Sus scrofa: one gene and its partners. The protein of the gene in region 1 interacts with the protein of each later gene in a pairwise test. Links are inferred from orthologs where the notes say so. Each region holds a gene or a part of one and is shown on either strand. Other genes may lie near its edges.

What was found.
Region 2: the proteins of LMO2 (region 1) and IFT43 interact in binary tests that used the Homo sapiens proteins (3 or more experiments, as listed by UniProt). The two-hybrid records come from large-scale screens. The link is inferred for Sus scrofa from reciprocal best matches to the Homo sapiens genes LMO2 and IFT43.
Region 3: the proteins of LMO2 (region 1) and TAL2 interact in a two-hybrid assay, tested with the Homo sapiens proteins (2 studies listed by BioGRID and IntAct). The link is inferred for Sus scrofa from reciprocal best matches to the Homo sapiens genes LMO2 and TAL2.

The regions. Positions count from the first base shown.
Region 1 is NC_010444.4:27,051,076-27,054,720, forward strand, and holds part of LMO2 (rhombotin-2), read left to right. Parts: intron 1-3,353; coding exon 3,354-3,573; 3' UTR 3,574-3,645. UniProt on the Homo sapiens protein: Acts with TAL1/SCL to regulate red blood cell development. Also acts with LDB1 to maintain erythroid precursors in an immature state.
Region 2 is NC_010449.5:99,157,538-99,161,722, forward strand, and holds the start of IFT43 (intraflagellar transport protein 43 homolog), read left to right. Parts: upstream 1-1,304; 5' UTR 1,305-1,379; coding exon 1,380-1,433; exon of another isoform or gene 1,434-1,512; intron 1,513-2,156; exon of another isoform or gene 2,157-2,263; intron 2,264-4,185. UniProt on the Homo sapiens protein: As a component of IFT complex A (IFT-A), a complex required for retrograde ciliary transport and entry into cilia of G protein-coupled receptors (GPCRs), it is involved in ciliogenesis.
Region 3 is NC_010443.5:246,931,732-246,935,833, forward strand, and holds the start of TAL2 (T-cell acute lymphocytic leukemia protein 2), read left to right. Parts: upstream 1-1,243; 5' UTR 1,244-1,609; coding exon 1,610-1,704; intron 1,705-4,102.

The DNA of each region.
Region 1 (3,645 bases):
GATAGAGGAAGGTCAAAAGAGGCCAGGCTTCTCCCTATCTCTGTGGTTTTATATAACATTCACGAATAAGCCCTGTGCTGCCTGGGCTTGTTAATCTTTTGCATTTTTAAAAAGGAGAGGAAAAAAAAAATAGTCTGGGAGAGCCCAATGTTAATTAACTTGTGTCTTGGTGACATGAAATAATTCTTCTCCCTGCTACATTCCTAGACAACATGTTAATTAACTCTGTGTTAGTGCAGGCGTTTCCAGCCATCCTTTCATATTTATATTATTGTTATTAAAATGGGCAGGAGGAAGCTTAAGACATGACACCTCTTGACAGAGGAGAAAAATCGTTTCTTGCTGCAGAGATGGCCCTTTAGCCATGGACTTGTTTGCTTGCATTCTGAACATTTTTGGTATGTCTGGGCAAAAGACAAGTTGAAGGGGTCCTGTGATGGGGTTCATCCTTCTCCCCTGCCCTCCAAGGAGAACTTCTTCCCCTGAGGATTTCCAGTGGCTGACTTGCCTGTTACAGTCTTTTTCAGGCTTTTAGCCTCAAATATTCATGAGACTCCCGTGCAGAACTGGAATAAACCCCGGGCTATTAGGTGGTTTTGTTGGGAACCTAACAGTAGTTGCTAATATTAAAGCTCAGCCCAGATCCCCACAGATTCCTTTTTACCAATCTGTGTGTGTCGTGCACCCGCCCCCGCCACCCCCGGCCATGGTTTACCTTCAGCTGCCAGCACCTGCACCTGTTAAAAGCCAGAGGTGTACCCACTACCCCTGCAGATGCCCAGCTGACCTTGCCCCATGACTGACACTGCCAGAGACCAAAGTCCTGCAATCTTGCCTGGAGCCAGGGCCGCCTGGAGACACAGCTTCCACCCTAGAGTTCCCACGCGGTCAGGTCGAAGCTCCCCTCTGAGGCCCTTGGCCCCAGATCGCAACTTTGCTTGCCTTCCACCCCTTCTGCCTGGCTTCCTGCCTCCTACCCATTTCCCCTGATTACACATCCTCAGTCATATGAGGCTTCAGGTCCGCTCCTGGGCCATCCAGCCCAAGGCACCGATTTTGGTGCCAGAGGTCAACACTCAATTTAGATGTCAAGTCCTGGCTTATTTTCATGAGTGGCAAAGTCTCAGCAAACCAGAGCTGGAAGGGGCTGCAGAGACCTTCTCTTCCTGGTCTCTTGCTCTACAGCTTAAGACACAGGAGCCAGGGCAGAGGATGTCATTGGCACCTGGCTAATTAGAGGTGATGCTGGGACTTGAACTTGTCTCCCAGACATCAGTCCTTCGTCCGTCCCTTCATTAGCTGCCTGACGTGGGTTGTAATTTACCCCCGACTTCCCTTTAATAAACGCTCTCCTCCCATAAGGGTCACACACCCAGGCGCCTGGCGTCATTCCACGCACACGGTTTTGTGAGTCATCGATTCTCGCTCGGCCCCAACTCAACTTACTGAACGATCAGGAAACCAGAACTGCCTTTCTACTTCCTGACCGCCAAGGTGGCAGCTCCCCACGGCTCCTCCATTTGCTGCCTCGGGATAAAATGTTCTCCCCCAGTAATGAGTTTGCTCCCAGGTGGTGCCTCGAAAACACTCAAAGGGATCTTCAAAGGGAAAGCGGGATTCGGAGAGAAGCTAGCTGGCCTGGCTGTAACAGGGAGCGCTCTGCTCACAGACCACATCTTGATCCCATTAGTGTAGCCCACACATTTCAAAATTTGTCAGCTGCCCTTATCTCCCCTACGGCCACTCAGAATGTGCCGGTTGATTCTCTATTTGAAGTTAATAAGAACAAGCATTTACCTAACACTGCCCCCAAAGGGTGGGAAGGACCCCCTGAAATGCCATGTGATCAGGCACGTGCAGAAATGACTTCCGGCAGCAAGACTGGCCCCTTTGGGAATACCCCCAAGGTGTGTTAAAACACAGCCAGAGTTGGCTTCGCCCTTGACCTTGGCTGTTGGTGGTTTGACAGGCTGCATTGTATCCTTCTAACAGCTGGGTGAGGCAGGCGCTATGAGCGCTGCCGTTTCATAAGCTCAGAGGAATCGGAGGTCTCACCAGGGTCACTCAGGTACTCAGGGCGAGTCCTGGACTGAGTCTGAGTCTGCTGATTCCCATGCCTGTGGGCTGATTTGCAAACTTCAGCCTGCATTCGAATCACCTGGAAGTGCTCAGGATCGCCCGCAGAGTACCTCCATCAGGAGGGCCCGAGTGTGCATTTCTCACAAGCTCCCAGCGAGTGCAAATGCGGCTGGTCCCCGGACCACACTGAGACCCACTGCACTGGGCTCCGCCATATTGCATTTCCCACCTTGACACTGAATATTCCTTGAAGTAATTGACCAACTGAGGCTTCGGAGGGTCTTAGTTTCAATGTCAGAAGCCTCTCCAGAGACTCGTGCTGTCGGGGCAGCAAGGATCTTCAATTAAGATCTTGCATTGGGCATGGAGAGACGTCGCTTGTCCTCCAGATCTGAGGCATGCTTAGCTATACCACGTGTTTTCTCTCAAACTGCCTCTGTCTCCCAGGAGCTGGGGTCCCAGCGAACAATCATGTGGCCTTTGTGCCTTTGGAGTCATTCAAAACCAGTCCTCCCCTTGGGTGGAATTAGCGGCTGTTGATATGATAGATCTTGGGAGCTTCAGAAAGATGCCCAATTCATCGCATTCCTGGTCAGTTTCCTCTCAAAGGGGCCCCCAGGGGTTTCCTCCTGCTCTTCTTCTGAACTGAGAGTTTTGGAGTTCCATTGCGGCTCAGCAGGAACGAACCCAGCTAGTATCCATGAGGATGTGGGTTCAATCCCTGGCCCTGCTCCGTGGGGTAAGGATCCAGCATTGCTGTGGTGCAGATGGCGTAGACACAGCTCGGATCCCACATTGCTGCGGCTGTGGTGTAGGCTGGCAGCTGCAGCTCCAATTCAACCCCTAGCCTGGGAACTTCCATGGGTGTGGCCCTAAAAAAGCAAAAAGCCCCCCAAAACAAAAAAAACCTGAGAGTTCCCCTGGGAGGAGGCACGCCAGCCATGCCTACCCTCTTACAAAGCTTCAGCTGAGAGTCTTTTCCACAGAGGCGGCCTGGGGCAGCCTAAAGGCGAGGAGAGTGGTTGTTGCAGGCAGGGAGAGAGCTCATGAGAGGGATGAGGTGTTATGGCCAACACAAATGCCGCAGATACCATTTCACCCCAGAGGACCCTCTTCCTTCCAGGAAAGTACATAGGAGTCGGTTATCTGTCTGGACCCAGCTCTTCCTTGCTTCCCGACGTCTTGGAAATCCAGCCAGCATCACGGAACCCATCCCCAAGCCCTCTCATCTCTGCCAGTCTCTTTTGAGCTTTTTCTCTCTTTTCCTCCCCCAGGCTTTTTGGCCAAGACGGTCTGTGCGCATCCTGTGACAAGCGGATCCGTGCCTACGAGATGACCATGCGGGTGAAAGACAAAGTGTATCACCTGGAATGTTTCAAGTGTGCCGCCTGTCAGAAGCACTTCTGTGTGGGCGACAGATACCTCCTCATCAACTCGGACATAGTGTGCGAGCAGGACATCTACGAGTGGACTAAGATCAATGGCATGATATAGGCAGAGGCCCCGGGAGCTCCGGGGAGGCGTTTCACCGAAGTGACTGTCTCGGGGCGGGAGGTGGGGGGGTGG
Region 2 (4,185 bases), on another chromosome or scaffold:
CTTATCAGACCCCTACCTTACAATAACTCGTGACAGCCTATCTACTTATCAGACCCTTACTCGGAAGTAACTCGTGATTCCTTAAGGACAAACATTTCCTTTCTCGTAGTAGCAGAGAACAGCCTCATGACTTTTGCCTTTTGTAAGCCCCTGACTCTTTCTTTTCCCTGGAACACTCTTGATTTTACCAGAATCTGTCTCCCAACAATTCTTAAGATAGCCCTCCAATAAAGCTCTTTGTTCTTTGCAGCCCTGATACTGATTATTGTTTAATAGAGCTCACAAGAAATGGAAAAATTCAGGAGTTCCCATGGTGGCACAGCAGGTTAAGGATCCATTGCTGTCTCCGCACGGCCCAGGTCACTCCTGAGGCTCGGTTCCATCCCTGGCCGGCATGGTGGGTTAAGGATCCAGCATTGCTGAAGCTGTGGGGTAGGTTGCAAATTTCAGGGCGATAAGCCCATCTGGGGGTCCAAGCTGGGGTTCCCCAATACCAAGGCCTGGTCAGTAATATTGACCTGGGGGTCTTACAGGGTGAGCTAATGAAGGCTCAACTGACTTTTCTCATTAGGCTGGGAGTTTGAGGGCCATCTTCCTCTGCTGGCCTGGGAGAATGGGTGGCACCCAGGAACACGTGCTAGAGGAAAGTTCTTTAGTAAAATCTGGTGGAAGAAAGGCACTTGGCTCTACTGTTTAACACTCAGGTGATTTTCCTCAAGGCGCCGCCCTGCACCTGAATATTTTTACTTGTTGAATAGAGATACTGCCCTTGATCACCTCAAAGGGTGCTGGAGGGATTATTTGTAGTTTTGAAAATTATGAATACTCAGGTATTGGGTGTGTTGGTTCAGCCTCTCTGTAAACTTCAGGCAGAGATTACATATATCGCACTTTTCATTATAAACCATTTATTAGCACCTGACCCTCTGTGTGCCTGTTTTCTCATCTACCCAGTGGAGACAATACACCTTATCTTGCTTCCCACACAAAGGTGTTATGCCCTTCACATGAGTTAGCAACTGTGACGATCCTCTGTACATTGCAAAGAGCTGCACAAATGGAAGGAATTGGGGTAATCTCTACTGCTAGTAGTAGTGCTTGGCCCTTAACTTATGTATTTGGAACAGATGTAGGCAGTTTCTAAGGACTAAAAGTTTTCACTGTACCACAGGAGCACCCTTAGCAGAATTTAAGATCTGGAGATTTCTTCCAGAAGTCAAACAAAAAAGGTTTAGAAAGATTTGGTTTAAACTGGAGGTTAGCATATCCAAGAACAATGCGGCGGGCCCTTTAAGTAGGGGGATGGAAGGGCGGAGCCGTCGTCAGGGACGCGAGTAGGCCGCTGGGTTTCCAGGAAGTGACGCCAAGCGGCCGTGGAGATGGAGGACGTGCTGGACCTTGGCGAGGAGCGGCGTCGCGGCTCGGCCTTCTCCGTGAGGACCGACTCGGGGGCTTGGGGCCAGCAATTGGCGGGTGGGCAGGAATGACCCCGCCGGCCCCGGCTTCCCTGAGGTGCCTCGGCCCAGCCTGTCCCGGGAGGCGGGAGCTGGCGGGCCCTGAGTCTTGCGGCGGTGGGGTGGGTGAGGCCGGGGAGGAGGTGGCCTCCCTCGTCCCGCCCCTGGGGCAGCAGCTCCTCCGCTGCTGGGCTAGGATTTGCTTTCTTTAAAATCTTCAAAAAGTGGAAAACAGATTCCGCCTCTGCCGGCCTCTGGGACCGGTGGGACATTTCCCAGGTTCTCTCCGCTCCCTGGAGGTCCAGACGCCAACTCCCATAGAATGGGGAGATCTGAGGGTGACGGACTGGAGGGGCCCTGGTCAGGGTCGCACTTGCATTCCTCCTCGAGCTTTACCCTTTAGACTTGTCATGCCAGAGGTTTTTGTGAAAACCGTACGATTTTATTCAGGGAAGGAAAGAAGGCAGGTAGACAGAAGGCAGGTAGACAGGGAGGGCCTTTCTTGCCACTAATTCCCTTGGGGCGGTAGGGGGGCATTACCTCAGTTTTTATAGTTAAGGAAATCAAGAAGCAGATTTATAACGTGGGGGAAAGTCTAGGTGCTGGGGGTGGGGGTGGAGCCCAGAGGTCAGAGGGAGTATAAAGCTGTTGCTTGGGTTAAAAGAAGTTAACCTCCTGGAACCTCAATTTCCTTATCTCTAGAATGGAGATGCTGATACCGACTTTAAGGAGTTGCGGGAAAGATGAAATGAGATGTGTGTGGAAAGCATTTAATACAGTGGCTGGCATGTGCTGAGATATTAGAAGAGGTTAGCTGCTATTGATTTACTCAAGGTTATATGTACATAACAGCTATATTCAAGACCCAAGTTCAGTGTGTGTGTATGTGTATGTGTGTTTTAACTCGTCACAGCCCCATCAAGCCTTTTTACCTTTAAAATTATTGAAGATCGCAGTCACTAACAGATTGGCCCACGGGGAGTTCCCGTCGTGGCTCAGTGGTTAATGAATCCGACTAGGAACCATGAAGTTTCGGGTTGGGGATCCGGGGTTGCAGTGGCTCTGGCGTAGGCCGGCAGCTACAGCTCCGATTCGACCCCAAGCCTGGGAACCTCCATATGCCGCGGGAGTGGCCCAAGTAACGGGAAAAAAAAAAAAAAAAAAAAGATTGGCTCACGGGCAGGTCTTTAGTTTTGCTGTGGAGTCTCTATGAGTTCTGAAGGGCCCCATCTGATGTCCTCTAAGTTACTAGAGGAGAGAGATGAGGAACAGGAGCAAATTGCTCTAGGGCGAAGCGGATTGCTTGACTGATCAAGGAGAATATTAGGTCATCAGACCTTTCGGATCCGTGCACTTTTTTAGTACCTGGGGGTTATAAATGTTCTCATTCATTCATTCTTTCAACAGATAGTTATTGAGCCCCATCTGTGTATCCAGCATTGATTGTCTTTAGGTGCTGAAGATACAAGAGTGACAAAACTTAAGTCCCTGCCCTTATGGGGCTCATGTTCCAGTGAGAGGACAGGCAGTAAACAGACTCTACTTTGAAATATATAAAACCAGAGAGTAGTTTTTCTCAGTCATTCCAGTGGATTTATACAGGGTCTTTGGAATTTTTAAAAACCTTAGACTGTGTGACAGTTATTGGAGAAACCATCTATAAACAGCATTGAGAGGCAAGATCCTTGACTTTTTGTTGGAGCACAGTCACTGCATGTTGTATGCCAGGATCACATACCCAATGTTATGGTAAATGGAAAAGGGCAGCCATAGACAACCCCACAGACAAAGTGGGATTGTCTACCTTGGGAAGAAAATGAGCTGCTTATTGTCAGAAAGGCTGTTTCTATCATCCCTGAAACCAAAATGATTACTTAGAATTTGACATGTAAACATTACATAAGGGTGTTTATGCAGCTCTCAATGTATTGGTGCAGTCAGTTCTTAGAACATCTTAAAACTGAAATTCCAGCAGGGTGTAGAGGAAAGAACTCAGGGTTAGAAGGCAGATGATTCTGCTCTTGGATTTATCTGTTACTTAGTTGCTTTCCTGGATCTCAGTTTCCTCATTTGTAAAAGGCCTCAGTCTCAGTCTCTCTTATTGTGAAGTCCAATGAGATCCAAAAGTGCTTACATTAATGCTGTTTTTTTTTTAAAGCAAAAAATGAGAAATATAAACATTTCAACACCCACTAGTCTGCCTCAATACAGTTTTGTGTATACGCTTGGAGGCCTTTGAGACAAAGCCTGCACCCCAGGAGAGCTTTGGGAAACACCTGCAAAGGGTTCATTTCATGACTCAGAATTTGGCATGTTCTGATTTCCAAAGCTGATGTCTCAAAATTCTTGTCAGTACTTTTTCTTTAATGTCTGTAAGTGCAAATCCAATTAGTGCACACGTCAAAGCAACTGCTATCTGTATTTCTCCGGTTTCAGTTCCCAGAGAATTGCTGCCCCCTCCCCAAAGCCTTTTTGATAACAATTTTCATGCCGAGCTGCAGCTTTGAGGGTAAGCCTTCCTCAACTCCCGCATAGGAAGATGGGGGCCTTGACCGTACTCTTCCCGAGCTGTGGCATGAGGTCGGTGCCCCTTCTAGGGGAGTTTCTAGCTGCTTTTCATGGGCAGGAAAGGTCTGTGGCTGTCAACAGAAAACACGGTGGTCCCCCATGGATTTCCTGTTTTACCATCTAGAACGGACCTCGGGTGCTTTGCTGTAAGGATTGGGGCATT
Region 3 (4,102 bases), on another chromosome or scaffold:
TCATACAGTCACACAAGTGAGTAGATTGGGGATTTCAACCTGGGTAATACAAATCCAGAGTCCTTTGCTCTTATCCCCTAAGCTTTAATGCATTTGTGAATTTATTGTGCCAGACCCTAGCTGGGTCCTTCAGAGAATGTGATATGTAGAAGTTTATTGCTTATCCATTCATTTATCAACCTACATTTGAAGAACACCTGTTCACTGGGGTTGGAGAGGAAACAAACAAGATAAATAAGAAAAATATTACTAAATGCAGTGAGTGCCAAGGAGAAGAACAAAGCAGGGCAGAAAGATGAAGAGTCCTGGGTGTGAAGGTGCAATTTTAGGTATCAGAGATTCAGAGAATCCTGTTTGAGAAGGTGACATGTGAGCAAAGACCTAAAAAATGCCAATTCCATAAGGCAGAAAAATTTCTTTTATTGTAAAGTTGTATCCCTAGTGCCTACAAGAGGCACTGGCCCAGAGTGGGTACTCAATTGGCCCAGAGTGGGCACTCAATAATAATTGCTGAATGAATGAAAGGAGGTGAGGGAGAGAACTGTGAGGCTAACTTGGGGGAAGAGTGTTTCAGGCAGTGGAAACAGTGCAAAGGCCCTGAGGCAGGAGGGTGCCTGGTGTGTTTCTGAAATAGCAGGGGTCAGAGTGACTAGAGCTGAGTGTCCCCCAGGGAGAGAAGGAACAAAAAAGTCAGGTAGATGGTATCTGGGAGGCACTGCAATTACTTCAGCTTAAGTCTGAATGAAATGGGGAGACAGGGAAAGGTTTTGAGTGAGAAGTGGCAGGAACCTGATTTGCTTGGGTTTTCCTAGGCTCATTCTGGGTGATGTTGGAGAATAGGCAGAAAGAGGAAAGTGCAGAAGCAGGAAGGCCAATGAAGCCACCCTGAAATACCAAGTCCCCCCCTCCCCCGCCCCGCCCCGCGCCCACCCGGGTGCTCTGGAAACTGAGATGATAAATCCGGGAATCTGTCCAGTGCAGTGATGATTTAACTTCTCTGTACATCTTAATCTCCTCGGGATACTTATCAAAAAGACAGATTTTGGATGCCATTCTCTGAAAACCTGATCTGGTGGGTCAGGGTCGCGGGTGTTGAAATCCACCTCCCCTCACCCATGATTCTGAAGCAAGTGGTTCTGGAGCTGCAGTTGGAGACTCACTGAGGCTGAAACGACTGACATCTGATGAGCTGGCCACAGGGCACAGACTTTCTGAGGTTTATAGACATTGGAGAAGAGAGCTGGTAAACCGCTGGCCATCCTCGGCCAGCCTCTGCCAGCCTCGCTGTGGTCCGAGTGGGTGGCAGAACCCCCTCCCCTTTCAACGCCTTAAACAAAGCAGGGTCTCCTTCCGCCTCTGCTTGGTTTCTAGGGCGCAGGGAGGCTGGTCCAGAGAAGCTAGGGCGCAGGGGTGGGGAGGGACCTGCAGAGTCCTGGGCGTGAACGGCCTGGAGACAAAGGGCGGGGTCCTATAAAGGCTCAACAGAGGCGAGGCGCCCAGACGAGGGCTTACCCGGCCAGCAACGGTGACGGTGACAAATACTGCACGGGCTCCCGGCTCCGACGGAGGTGCGTGGACTCCGAGAGGGACGTGGGCGCCACCGGGGTTTATGCGCCAACGAGTCTCCGGCACAGGTCCCAGCCGCACTCGCCCCAGAGGGCAGGGGTGTGGAGGTGACTTGGTGGCAGCCACCAAAGAGACTCGGTGAGAAGACCTGGGGTCTTTCCGCGGGGCAGGGGCAGTGGCAGTGGCGCGTGTTGTCGGGGCTGCTGAGCCTTGATGTGCGACCCCCTAGGGCATCTCCGAGGGACGTTTAGGCAGCTTCTGCGTCTCGGTGAGAACTCCCAGAACCCCTCAGGTGTCTTTAGCCGAGATGCTTACCTGGACGCCCGAACTTGTAAGTCATTAGGCGGGCACTGCCGGCCAGGGGGAGCAAAACTTAGAAAAAGGGATAAACCGGGAAGTGAAGCGGTCAAGGGCAGTTGAGCTGGGTGGGCGGTGAGGTGCTGAGGTTTGAGGGCATTTTGGATCAGGTGGCATTCCCAGTGCGCCATGTGCCCATTCAAAGACCCACAGTCATAGTAAATGTACTTATTAAAATATCAACATGTAGAATTGTCTAGTGAGAAGAGTAATTGCATAATAGTATGTATCGTGATTTTTAAAGATTTTATTTTCTTTCTTTTTAGGGCCACAAGTGCAGCATATGGAAGTTCCGCGTTTGGGACCTATACATCACAGCTCTCTGCTTAATTCACTGAGTGGGACCAGGGATGAACCTGTGTCCTCATGGATACTAGTCGGGTTCATTTTTGCAGAGGCACAATGGGAACTCCCAGGATACATATTTTTACATAAAGGATACACACACTCCCCCAATGAAAAGGCTACTGCTTAGGAATGACATTGAACAGGTAGAGGGATGGAGCTGGGGGCTTTTATTTTTTGCTTTATCATTTGTGTACTGCTTGATTTTTTTTTTTTTCCTTAGTGAGCCTGTGTTACTTCTATAATAATTTCTAAAGGCAAAGCTGTGCCTAGTATTGGAGGTTAGGCACTTTCCTCTAACCCAATTGTATAAACCACCTTTCACCGCCCTCTTTCTGGATGGTATTTTCACTTACTTAAAAAAAAAAAAAAAAAAAAAAAAAAAAAGACAGAAGAGACAAATACATAGGACCAAATGTCAGTAGGAGAAATTTAAAATCTTATGACAAAAGAGCAGTGTAAATCTGAGTTCCTGGGTCAGGCTGCCATAGGAATGTTAGCTGTACTTCTGTGCTGTAACCTTTCTAGTTAACCTGGGCTCTGTGTCCAGAAAACACCCACAGAAAAAAGGAGCAGCTCCTATCTGGGGCGTTGGTTACCTTCCCTGGGGGCACAGCTGTTGTCCTCTTCTGCAGTAACCTGCTACCTTCCATGGGGACAGTATAGAGTCTGTGCACAGCTATATTCCTCTTCAGTTTACCATGACAGTCCTTCTGCCCAGACATTCTTAACCTGGGGACCATGACACCCACCCAGTGGGGGTGTGTGGAGAGAATTCAGGGGTTCTATATATCCGGATGGGAAAAAATTATCTTTGTGTCTATTAACCTTTAATCTAAATTTAGCATTTCCTATATTTATGAATGTGACTAATAAACTATAGTGGCAACTAGCAAAGCTGATGACTTTGTCATCAAAAGAAATCATAGAAACTTTCAACTCAGATTACAGATGTTACAGGTCTGAAAAATCACTTACATATCACTACTTAAAAATCATGGTAACAATTCTAATTATTTAATGTGTTAAAAGTGAAGCACAGGTATTACTGTATTGCATTTAGAATTATTTTAATACCTATTAAGTGTAATTGTTTTTTATGTTTCTATTTTAATTCATGCATTTAAAATTTATACTCTGAGAAGGGAACCAAAGACTTTTTCCTTTATGAATCTGAAATCATTGTTCTGAGACAATATCCTCCCCAGGCTTCCCTAGACTGCAAAAAGGTCCATGGCACAAAAAAGGTTATGGACCCCGACTCAGCAGGAGTCAGTGGTGACATAGATGCATAAATACTCAGGCTTGGGACCCAAGTTCTGACACGCAGGGATGTGTGACCTGGGACAAAAAGCTTCACCCTGTTTCAACAGCTGTCAGAAGTTCTCAGATTCTGTGGCATCTGGAGTGTTTTTTAAGCCCTTAAATTACTCTGAATCAAGATTAGCAGCAATCAGTCCCTGCAAATGGAAAAACACTAAATGCCATTTTCCTTTATTTACTAAGTACTTTAGTAATTTTCCAGTGACTTCTACTTTGAGTTTTTCTAGCTTGTTAAATCACTGATTTCTATTTCCCCCTATGGAGAAGGAGAATGACACACTTGAGCATAAATCAACAAGTAATTATTAAGCACATCCTAGGATGGCCATGCTACATTTCAGAAGCCTGCCATCTCTTCTCCCCACTTCCTCTGTCTGCTTCTGGCACAATAGCATGGAGCCCTCTTGGAAGAGAACACCAGTTAGTTTATCCAGCCTAATCTTTTTCTTCCTAGCTTGAAAAAGACCCCCCATGGGACTGGTGAATGAGCTAAAGCCTCTTTTGACAAGAG